Linked DNA regions of Cricetulus griseus. The protein of the gene in region 1 binds, or shares a complex with, the protein of each later gene. Links are inferred from orthologs where the notes say so. Each region holds a gene or a part of one and is shown in the gene's direction. Other genes may lie near its edges.

Region 1 (5,495 bases):
CACAGATTGCCCAGACCTCCAAACTGACATCCTCACAACAATAATTATTGTTCCTAATAATAAAGAAATCCTTTCAGATTCACCCAGTAGCATGGAAAGAAACAGCAAGTCAATTCTTGAAGACTAAGCTTTGAAATGTTCAGGACAAATTCTTTTTTCCTAAAGGGTGACTTTCTTCATATATATATATATATATAATATATATATATATATATATGTGTGTGTGTGTGTGTGTGTGTGTGTGTGTGTGTGTGTGTGTGTGTGTGTGTGTTTACTTTCAAATAATTACTCTTCCTTAATAACTTCCTTTTGGAGTGATTGCACTACTGTGATAAGTTATCATAGACTGAGTGGCTACATGATGGACATTTGTAACTAGCTCATAGTGTTGAGACTGGGAAATCCATGATCAAGGTGCAGTCAGATTTGCTTTGGGGTAAGGTCTTCTTCCTGGTGATAGTCTTCTCACTGGCCATGTGTGGGAGAGAGAGAGAGAGAGAGAGAGAGAGAGAGAGAGAGAGAGAGAGAGAGAGAGAGAGAGATTCTGCTCTCTTTCCCCACCTTAGGAGGACAGTGATCCCACTATGAAGACCCCACCCTTATAACATCCTCCTAGATCTAATTACTTCCAAATACCTTTATATTGGGGGTAAGACACATTCAGTCTTGACATTCTCTTATTGGACTGTGTATGAGCTTTGCTTTGTCCACATGGTGTTGTGCACACGTGTGTGTGTGTGTGTGTGTGTGTGTGTGTGTGTGTGTGTGTGTGTGTGTGCACATATATGTATATGTCCATGTGATGCCAGAAGACAAAGTCAGTTGTCATTTCTCAGTCCACTTGTATTTTTTGAGATGGGGTTTCTGTACTGGAACTTGTTGAGTTAAGAACATGCCATCACACCTAGCATTTTTTTTTACACGGTTTTTGGGGGAAGATCAAATTCAAGTCCTTGTGCTTATGGGGCAAGGACTGGCATTTCTGGGCTGTTTCTCTAACTCCATGTGATATCTTTTTAACATTTTAAATCAAATTGTCGTTCAAAAGCCAAGTGCTCTCCAGCTTACCATGCCCCATGCTCTGATGGGGAAGGTCCTTCTGTGTATGTTTATCTTATTGGTTGTTGAATAAAGCACTGTTCGGCCAATGAGGTAGCAAGTTAGGCAGGAGTAGGAGTCAAGAGGATTCTGGGAAATGTGGTAAAGTCTTGTGATCCAAGCAAGAAGTGACATAGCAGGCAGACTCAGAATAAAAGCAGGGACAAGCAGGAAGTTGCTCTCTTCCTCTTCCTGCATCTCTCTTCTCTCAGAGCTGCCATGTGAGTCCAACAAGAGAGGACACATTCAGCTGGTGTCCTCAATAAGATAAGCCTTTATAAAATATATAGGTTAAGAAATCCTAGTTATTGGCCAGCAGCATTGTACCCAATATAAGTCTCTGTGTTATTTTGGCCGCCCACATGGCAGTAGGGCTCTGGCGGCTTGGTAGAAAGATTTATCATTATAATGCTCCCTGGTCATCTTAGATACTCTTAGTGGTGTGGACTGTAAAGCTTCTGTCAGTATTTAAACTTGAGTGTGATATGTCCATTGTCAATCAAGATTCATGCAATAAAATACTCTTGGTCTACCCTGAACATGGATGTCAATGAGGAGGCCTCTGCATTCTAGGGGGACCCTGATAGGGGATTAGTATTTTTCCCTGGTGTAAGAAGATACTTTGAGAGCCCATCTCACGTGAAGGAATGCACTCTTGCCCTGGACACATGGGGAAGGGCCTAGGCCCTGCCCAGGATGATGTGGTGGACTTTGCAGAGCCCTCACTGAGGGCCCCACCCTGCCTGGGGAGTGGAGGGTGGATGGGGTGTGGGGGTAAATGGGAGGTAGGAGGGGTGAGGGAGGGAGAAGGGATTGACATGTGAAACAAGCTTGCTCCTATTTGAACTAATAAAAAATAAATAAAATAAAATAAAATAAAATAAAATATCTCTTACAGGATGGAGAGCCTAATGCGGGGAAGAAATCCCCCACAATATCAGCGAAGTCCCTGCAAGGAGGCTCGTGCAGCACTTCGGAAGAGGCCTGAAGAGGAGTGTAAGTATGTCTAATCATAACAACCATGCTCTAGGTAGATTTTCGGTGAATGGCACAAAAAATGAATAGGTTTACTTTTATAAGCTCAGGTAAATTAGAGAGATAATCAAAAAATATATATTAAATTGACCTGTTTTGTTTTGTTTTTCAAGACAGGTTTTTTTCTGTGGCTTCACAGCCTATCCTGGCACTCGCTCTATAGACCAGGCTGGCCTCGAACTCACAGAAATCCTCCTGCCTCTGCTTCCCAAGTGCTGGGATTAAAGTTGTGCACCACCACCACCCAGCTGTTTTTTTTTTAATTGCAACAATTACAAGTGTTGCAAGCCCCATTTTCTCATGAGTACTCCTCTGGTACTTTAGGGACTTCCCATGGCATTTGGATTTTGTGTTAAATGATAACAGAAAAGTCCACACCGTACTCTAAATCTTTCAAAATCTCTCTACACCATACATACCAATGTTCTGAGGAGTTCTGAGGTAAAGAAACTTATGAAATGTGCTTAAAATCAACATTTTACAATTTCTTTTGGACTGCCGTTCTCTTTTGAACATTTTTTTCTTTCTTAAAATGCCACACTCTTTGAAAAACACTGTGTTTCTAGGGAATTAAATGTCTAAGGGTATATGTATGTCCATTTGTCAAACTGAAATTTTTGATTTAAGGGAATTTAGTAAAACGTTTTGAAAGTCAGATGTTATAAATGACACTGTAAAAACACTTTAATCCTGCCCCAAATTATTTTATATTAGAATGTGTAGTCATCTGTAAAGACTTTATTTAAATATTTATATTCCATAGCCTATAACAGATTGTTGGAGACTTTTGACATGATATTCACATTTGAAGTTTGTGAAATGACTCGTGATCCTAACTTTCCTTGTGGTATTTGCATATAGCTATTTTTGGCACACTAAATTATATTCCATTATGACAAACACTGATCTGAATTTTGTCCAATTTTAAGAACTTACATTTTGTAACTATGAAGTTAATGCCGAGCTCCACAACATAGATGGCACAGTGAATTATTAACTTTGTATTTGCATTTTAAATTAGTTTGAAGTGAGGGTAAGTATCACAGCCTGCATTCACAGGAAGGGAAGCACTTTCACTGTGTGTTGTGCAGCAACGTCAGTCTAGACCTCTTCTCGGTGACTTCAATGTCATTCACTGAAGTGTTGATCTTTGCACATGGTGGAGTTGTGTCCTATTACCATGTGAACAATATCTGGTAAAAGCTAAAATGTAAAAGTGAACATGTTCAACAATGAGCACTCTTGAAGATCATTACTTTTAACTATCACCTCTCTTTTACTAAATTCCTCCTCTTCTGGTTCAATACGTCATCTTCATCTCTGGTATAGGTCTATAGATTTCACTTAAAAACATGGAAGTAAGATATGTGGGTACATTGGTAAATGGTTCCCAGAGAGTTTCTGTTCTAACATAAATAGTGATTTCCATGAGTGCCCTTTTAGTGATTATATAGGCCAATAGTTACTCTACTGCAGGTTACTATGGTATCCATCCCGATGCCTCTTTCCATCAGAAATACTTTATAGCAACACAGGCATCACATGTGTGTTTAAATGTTCTGTAGATCTACTTTTGGCTTCACAGAAATACTTAAGTATCTACAACTCAGGCCAAATGTTCCACAGAACAAAACCAAAATCCTTTATCTGGTTCTTTTTAGGAAAGTTGTACTTATATATTTGCTTTTATTCTTTGAGACAAAGTTTCACTAGGTAGCCCAGAGTGGCCTCCAACTGATGGCATAACAGGCCAGCCATACCACATGGTTTGGGAAAGATATGAACTCCTATCTGAAGTAGTGGTTCTTAAATTTTGACATCTGAGCCAGCAGCAGGTAGATCACCTGAGAACTCACTAGATGAGTAGAGTCAAAGGCTTAGGCCCAATCTTGCTGAATAAATATCTATTAAGACTAGAGTAGTAGTCTGTAGTTTAAGAAGCCATATTTGAGACTGAGATGCAAGGTTAAGTCTGAAAACCACCAGCTAAGCAGGTGATTGATGGCAGATGATAGTAAGCCATCAGCTTCACAAGACTAATGATGATAGATAAACTATCTCATACTTAAGCTTAAATTTCTTTCTGGTGTAAACTATATATGTTTATTATGATACTTCATCTGTAGCTAAGAATTTTATTACTATAATTGCTGCAAGTCCTCAAGAGAGGACTTCCATACGTCTCTCTCTCTCTCTCTCTCTCTCTCTCTCTCTCTCTCTCTCTCTCTCTCTCTCTGGTGTGTGTGTGTGTGTGTGTGTGTGTGTGTGTGTGTGTGTGTGTGTGTGTGTGTTTCTGTGTTTCTTCCCCCAGAGATCTAGACTGCCCCTTGTTAATATAGTGAAAAGAATGAGAAGTACTCTCTGAGCTTTGATGGGGAAACATTATCTCCTGGTAAAAAGACACCATCGTTTTAATAGTAGAGATAGAACATTGTGGTATTTAATACTTTTGAGGCTTGTAAAAAGGTTTATTCTCTATCACAACACACGCAACAATAACCAGATGCAGTTCACTGTGTGTTATTTTCATTAAAAGACTCAGTTTATATACTTCTAAAATAATGGTGATGGTGGGTCACAGGACTGTTGTGAGATACGGATTTATATGAATTGTGTTGCACACAGCCTGAGACATAGAAAGTTTTCTTCGGCCTTTTTATTTCTTCTCCTTCCTCTAATTCTGTCTCTTTTAGCTTGCTAGTATTACTGTCTTATGTCAAATTAATCTTTTTCTGAGGATAATAGAATACATTTTGTGTAAAAATTGTGAGTTATCCACAAATTCATGAGATTCCAGCTTCAATTCCCAGCAATGTCAAAAACTGAAAATTCATGCTATTTTTTTTTGAAAAAAATGATATGTGGGGCATTATAAGTTCCACACAGATGGTATCACACTGACCTTGAAATCGCTAGACTGTAATTCATGTCATCTGTCAATGCAACTAACACTTGGTGTAGTTATGTCCTCTTGATTCCACAGGTTCAGCCTAGGGTCCTTCCCACATCAACTGCTCAGTTCCCAGGTAAACTTACCTCAGAAATTGGCATCACAGAAATTCTAGGAGCATCATCTACCTGTCAAGGGAATAGAGAGGGATTTGGAGTTTTGTTCAGATGACAGGATCTCTTTATGGAGAGAGGTTTTGATAAATGGCATATTTCACACGGCTATCTCTGATAACCTGTAATCTTTTATAGTGTATTAAACATTGAGATCAACATTAGGTCACAAGACACTGCTCTTAGCTGGTTATTAAACATTAATTTCATCTAGCTGTGCCACAGCTAGCAAAGCTGAGCAAACAATCATAAAAAATAAGTTGATTCTTGTACAAACAGACTTTTATAAATGGCCAATT
Region 2 (5,640 bases), on another chromosome or scaffold:
CTGGTGCCTCTAGCCTTGGCCACGGTGTTCTGTGCCTGCTTGCTACCCACCAGCTGTGCAGCCCTGTGAGCACAGGCCTCTCTGCTCTGCCTCCGAATTGCCACGTTGGCGGCAGAAGCGGGAAGCATATTGTGCGCAGAAACAAAACGGAGTGGTTTTTCCTTTTCTGAAGGTGGTAATGGTGCAATTAGTGGCTAAGCCATTACCCCCTCCTCCCTGGCTTGCCTCCCTCCTTCCCCCCACCTCCTCCCTTTTTTTCTTTCCTGAGAAAAGTGGCTGAATTGAAGAGCTTTCCCTCAACCTTCCATTGACTTTCAGGAAGAGGGACAGAGGGGCCCCCTGGTGTCTCTAGGGCCCCCTACCCTAAAGCTCTTGTTGGTGTTGGAGAATAATCAAGGTACCGCTATGTCCACAAGTGAAGTAAACGATACAGTGATTTATGGATTCTGAGGGGTGAGTTGAAACTGAGAGAATTTGAATTTCCAGGTCCTTTTATCTGCCCCTTGCTCAATGGGGACAAATGCTGGCGTGAGACCTCTACATAGCCATCCGTGAGACATGCTGAGGCACCTCTTTTTTTTCCTCTGAAAGGGGAGGTGGGTGCTCAAGACCCAGATGCATTGTGGGAGTGGTCATGGACTCAGTTTAAAACTTCCTTTTTCGCTTTCTAGACACTGAGAGCCATTCAGGTTTGTCAACTGCCCAGATCCCATTTATGGCCCTTAGGCCATTCCATCTTTATGGGAGCCTTCTGCAAGCATGAATTTCTTCCTATTGTCTAGAAAATGATATGGGGGCTCAGAGAGCTTCCTCCTTGACTTTCCCAAGCTCACGAAGTTAATAAGTGCCAGAGCTGGAACTTGAACTCAGACCCATGCTTAATCTTAAACTCCATGCTTTGGGGCATGATTTGTGGCTACAGGTGTGGTTGGTATACCGAAGAGGTGATGTCATCAGGGAAGATGACTAGAGTTTGGGAAAGAAGAGTCCAGGACAGGATATATCCATGCCACCGGCCCAGGCCCGGGTGAGCCAGGCCATGCTTACCTCATTATAGTTGCCTCTTTCCAATCCTACCTTGACACGAAGCACAAGCTGAAACTGGGACATGAGCCCCAGGAGACCAAATCTACATGGTTCCTCTAGGGGCATGGGTGGGGAGAGCTTGGCGAAGAGGCCTCAGGAGGGGCCCAGCTGCACAATGATGACAGGTAGGGGTGAGAGAGCAGCCAGAGCCATTCCCACAGAGTCCTGGGTTTGGCTCTGCACTTCTCCCCCAGGCTAGAGTGACAGTGTGATACACACAGTGGCTAAAAAGCAGGGAGAGCGGGAGCAAAATAAGGACAGAGGCAGAGGCCAAGTCAACTAGACCAATTCCCAGAGGGAGCAGAGAAACTGCAGAGACTACAAGGGGGAAGGGAAGGAGAGAGATGAATTAGCCATCATTCCCCTGTAAACCTTAGAACCCAGCTGTTGCCAGGGCAACGGGGCAATACCTGTCTCTCTAGAGGAGATGAAGTTGCCAGGGTAACTACATCCTGTCTTTCTCAAGGACCATCCCAGAATGTTGCACCCACTAGTCGTTACCATAGCAACTGCCTCTTTGCCCCACTTAATCCCATCCCGTCTGTTAAAAGGGCCCTATAGTTGGAGGTGGGGGAGGTAGGAAGAGAGAAGATCACTTGTGGACTAAGTTTGTTCTCTTCCCCTTCTCCATCCCCCTAAGCACATCACCCTGGGAAAACAGGGTCCACTTGCTCCGGGGCCCACACAGTTCTGCAGTATTGTATATATGGGGCCAGGGCAACACAGGAGCAGGTTTTGAAGTGGAAGGCAGGCAGGTGTTGGGGAGGCAGTTACCGGGGCAACGGGAACAGGGCGTTTCGGAGGTGGTTGCCATGGGGACCTGGATGCTGACGAAGGCTCGCGAGGCTGTGAGCAGCCACAGTGCCCTGCTCAGAAGCCCCAAGCTCGTCAGTCAAGCCGCTTCTCCATTTGCACTCAGGAGCACGGGCAGGCGAGTGGCCCCTAGTTCTGGGAGCAGAACAGCAGCATCCCAGTCCTAGTTCCCAGCCTAAAGCCTCGCCTGCCTGCCCAGTGCCAGGATGGCCACCATCACCTGCACCCGATTCACAGAAGAGTACCAGCTCTTTGAGGAACTAGGAAAGTGAGTCACACCTCAGGGAGTCTTGGAGGGCAGGGGATCAGCCTCTGCGGGCAGGGGGCGTGTGCCTATGTGGCTAGAGCTGTCCCGTGCATGCAGAGGGAAGCATGCTGCATGGTTTGGGGACACCAGGTGTGCACAGGGTGTCCAGAGTCAGGCATTGACACATTTATGTGCCCATCTGGCCTGTGTGTGTGTGTGTGTGTGTGTGTGTGTGTGTGTGTTGAAAGGGTAATAGATTGATGGTATACATACACAACTGTGTATGTAAGTACACATGACCTGGGTACACAAAGATTCTTAGAAACTTGGGGTTTTAAAGGGATTTTCCCACTTGGCTGGGTCCAAGCTGGAATCCTTTCTGTAGTTGAACTTAGATACCTTGCAGTAATAGAGTTCACCATCTCTCGCCTGGAGATCCTGACTTTAGACACTGTACAGAGTGGCACATCCTCTCCTCCTTTCCCAGTTCCCTACCAGGAACAAGGGCTTCAGTACTGAAAGGGTTAACATGAAAGAGATTGTGGTGTTGGGAGGAGGGGAGGAACAACCAGCAAGCTGGGGGATGCCACTGTGGCAGTGGCACAAAAAAAAAATGGTGATCCTTTGGCAAGTTACCCATCGTGTTGTGCCTCTGATGTTGAGAGAAGGGTGGGAAGTAGAAAAGAAAAGGTTCCCTAGGGTAGATCAGCAGGCTATAGATATAAGGGAAGGTTTCTAGATGTTTCCAGCTGGGCTTGTGGGGGTCTTGGGATAGATCAGAAGTTGGGGAGCAGTTTGGCGGAGTGCTCCACGGACACAGAAGTGTCCATACCAGCCCTGTTTGGTTCCTGCTGTAGCAGTGAGAACGTGAGACAAGGGCCCCTGTGAACAGATGTGTGCCAGTGTGAGATCTGGAGGTACATGTATCAGCAAACATTTTTGAGGAGAGACTATATGATTTCCATGGGAAGCAGATGGAGTTGTATAAGAACTGACACTGGGCACAGTGTGAGCTGAAAAGGCACGCAAATACTGGTGCAAGTAAACCATGAAGAGATAGATGTGCAAGTGTGTCGTCTGTGTGGAAAGCCTAAAAATGTCAGTGTGCCCTGCAAGGGTGTGTGTGTGCAATTATGCAAGAGATGCTCTTGGTTAGATTGCAGCGAAGGTATGGACATGCATCTGTGTGCACATGTGTGGCAGGACAGAGCTGAGTGAATATCAGTGAACGTGTGTGTGTGTGTGTGTGTGTGTGTGTGTGTGTGTGTATAAGGTGTATAAGGTCACAGATGAGAAATGTGGACAGAATGTTCTTGAGTGTGCATGCATTTTGAGGAATATGTATAGGAAGTGTGTGTGTTTGTGTTAGGTCTGGACTCATGGACTCATGTGGGTGCTGTGGGGATGTGTGAGCTTATGCTGGTGTCTGCATATGTGTGGGAGGTGGACCTATGGTTGTGTGTAAGCATAGCCCCTGAATACACACACACACACACACACACACACACACACACACACACATACACACACACACACACACACGCACACGCACACGCACACGCACACGCACACGCACACGCACGCACACACACACACACACACACTCAAACTATCCAGACACCCACACATATCCCTCTTGTGCAAATGTGTGTTCATGTTTGTTTCTAGACTTCCTGCTCTTTTGCATGCCTTTGCATTGGACATGGGGGGCAGGAATACAATTTTGAAGGCTGCTGTGGTGGACTGTCTTAACTTTATCTGGGACCCCATTCCAGAGAATGTCTAGTGCTTACCAGGAACCTAAGGGTTTCCTGAATGGACTGGAGCTGCCTTTCAGGAACCCCCAAAGCTGCTTTTGGCAGGACTGCGTCACAGAGCACAATGAGATGGAGTTGAGCTGTGACTCCAGTGATCAGAGTGACACCAAAGTGCTCTTTTGCCCTGATAAGAGATGGGGATCATTAGGACTGGGCTTATTTGCCTGACTTGACCTTCTCAGCCTGCTTGGATGCTAAGAGGTGCTAGGGTAGAGGCAGAACTAAGGGACAGGGACCGGCGCTTCGGCCATGGCAGGAAAACCAAGGGTGGCAGGGATGCCCAGGCCTTGTCCAATCAATTTCAGACCTCTTCCTTCCTGAAGTATTGGTGCTCTTAACCTTTTTTAGGTCATTTATTCCTCCGGGAATCTGATGAAAGTCTAAATAGACATTCCCTGGAAAAATGCACAAACCTACAAAATGTTGTGTGTGGTGACAGGGCCTGTGAGACCTCAGGAGACTGTGCATGAACCTGTTCTTGAAGATGCTTGTGCAAAGGAAAAGGGGCTGTGGTGGGCCAGCTTCATGGCTTGGGTATCTGTGTAACACAGACCAGGGTGCCCTGTGGAGGAAGAGTCCGATGGCTTTTGCTCCTCACCTTAGCCTAAGTCTGAACTAAGGTGGGGGATGTTCAGGGAGGGGCTGTCTCACATGACCCTTCTCTCTGTGACATTGGGTGGGCTGCCACTTTTTCTGACCTGCAAGCTGGAACTTTAAAGAGCTGTGAGGGTGATATAGATGGTGTGTGAAGACATAGCCTCAAGCCTGACACACAGTGGGCCTCTGGAGGACATTGCTGCCCGAGTGGCTGTTGTCCTCAAGGATTGGGCTGGCCTAAGGGAGGAGGCAGAGCCTTCTTGATGTTTACCTTTTGTGTAGAGGGTATCGTGTTTAGGGGGATGTTGGTCAGGCTTCCTTGGGCTCTTCTTCCATGATGGAAGCAATGAAGAAATCTGAAGAGGTCACCCTTCAGTTGATGATCACGTGTCTTCTAGCTAGGACACTGTGTGGCTACCCAGATGCTGAGCCCTCATCCAGAACTCTGTCCACATAACCAGCCTCACCGAGTCTAAAAAGAGACTATACTTGACCTCTGTCAGGACTCTGGGTTGCCACAGCATAGAAGAGGGCTAGCATTTTAGCAAGATTTACTGGCATTCTGCCCAGTGAAGACTGGCTTGTCACCAGTGGCCTTTGAGGAGCCTAGGGTGTAAGCAGAGATTCCTCTCCTGCCTGAATATAGCACTAGATAGGAGTTTTTGTAACTTCTAGATGCTATCAGACTAAAGGCCCCCTCCATTCCCTGGCACTGAAGCACACAAATTAAGAGAAGCTAAGAAGTTGATGGGGCTGTTTCTAGGTACCCAGAGGTGATTTCACTCCTTTCTCCCTCTCTGGGATGAAAGAAATAGAAGCGTTCTCTTGGAGTGGGTTACAGTGCCTGCTACAGGCCCAGAGTGGTCCAGGATAGCCCTCAGAGTTCCCTTCCAACTCACTCATCTTTCTCTGATGTCCAGGACCAATGGACAGGAAGGGTGGTGGAGGTAGTGGTGGTGGGGAGTAGAGAGAGGCAAGGGAATCCCTAGAGAGCTCAGGCAGCCCCCCTCCCCGGGAGTGGGGTAGGAAGCCTCCTGTAGTCATTGCCTCCCCAGGCCTCCATCCTTCTGACCTGCAGAG

What was found. Proteins that work in one complex are often made in the same cells at the same time.
Region 2: the proteins of Lrrc7 (region 1) and Camk2a are in contact, whole or in part, in a crystal structure (PDB 6X5G), measured with the Homo sapiens proteins. The link is inferred for Cricetulus griseus from reciprocal best matches to the Homo sapiens genes LRRC7 and CAMK2A. Residues at the interface, in NP_001357714.1 of Homo sapiens: His843, Gly844, Arg845, Arg846, Pro847, Leu848, Ile849, Arg850, Gln851, Asp852, Arg853, Ile854, Val855; in NP_001350919.1 of Homo sapiens: Glu96, Phe98, Glu99, Ile101, Val102, Lys137, Glu139, Leu159, Phe173, Ala174, Gly175, Thr176, Pro177, Gly178, Tyr179, Leu180, Ile205, Gly209, Tyr210, Pro211, Pro212, Phe213, Trp214, Tyr222, Gln224, Pro233, Glu236.

Annotation. Positions count from the first base shown.
Region 1 is NW_023276806.1:1,194,634-1,200,128, forward strand, and holds the start of Lrrc7 (leucine-rich repeat-containing protein 7), read left to right. Parts: upstream 1-1,997; coding exon 1,998-2,094; intron 2,095-5,495.
Region 2 is NC_048595.1:178,171,870-178,177,509, reverse strand, and holds the start of Camk2a (calcium/calmodulin-dependent protein kinase type II subunit alpha), read left to right. Parts: upstream 1-2,105; coding exon 2,106-2,167; intron 2,168-5,640. UniProt on the Homo sapiens protein: Calcium/calmodulin-dependent protein kinase that functions autonomously after Ca(2+)/calmodulin-binding and autophosphorylation, and is involved in various processes, such as synaptic plasticity, neurotransmitter release and long-term potentiation.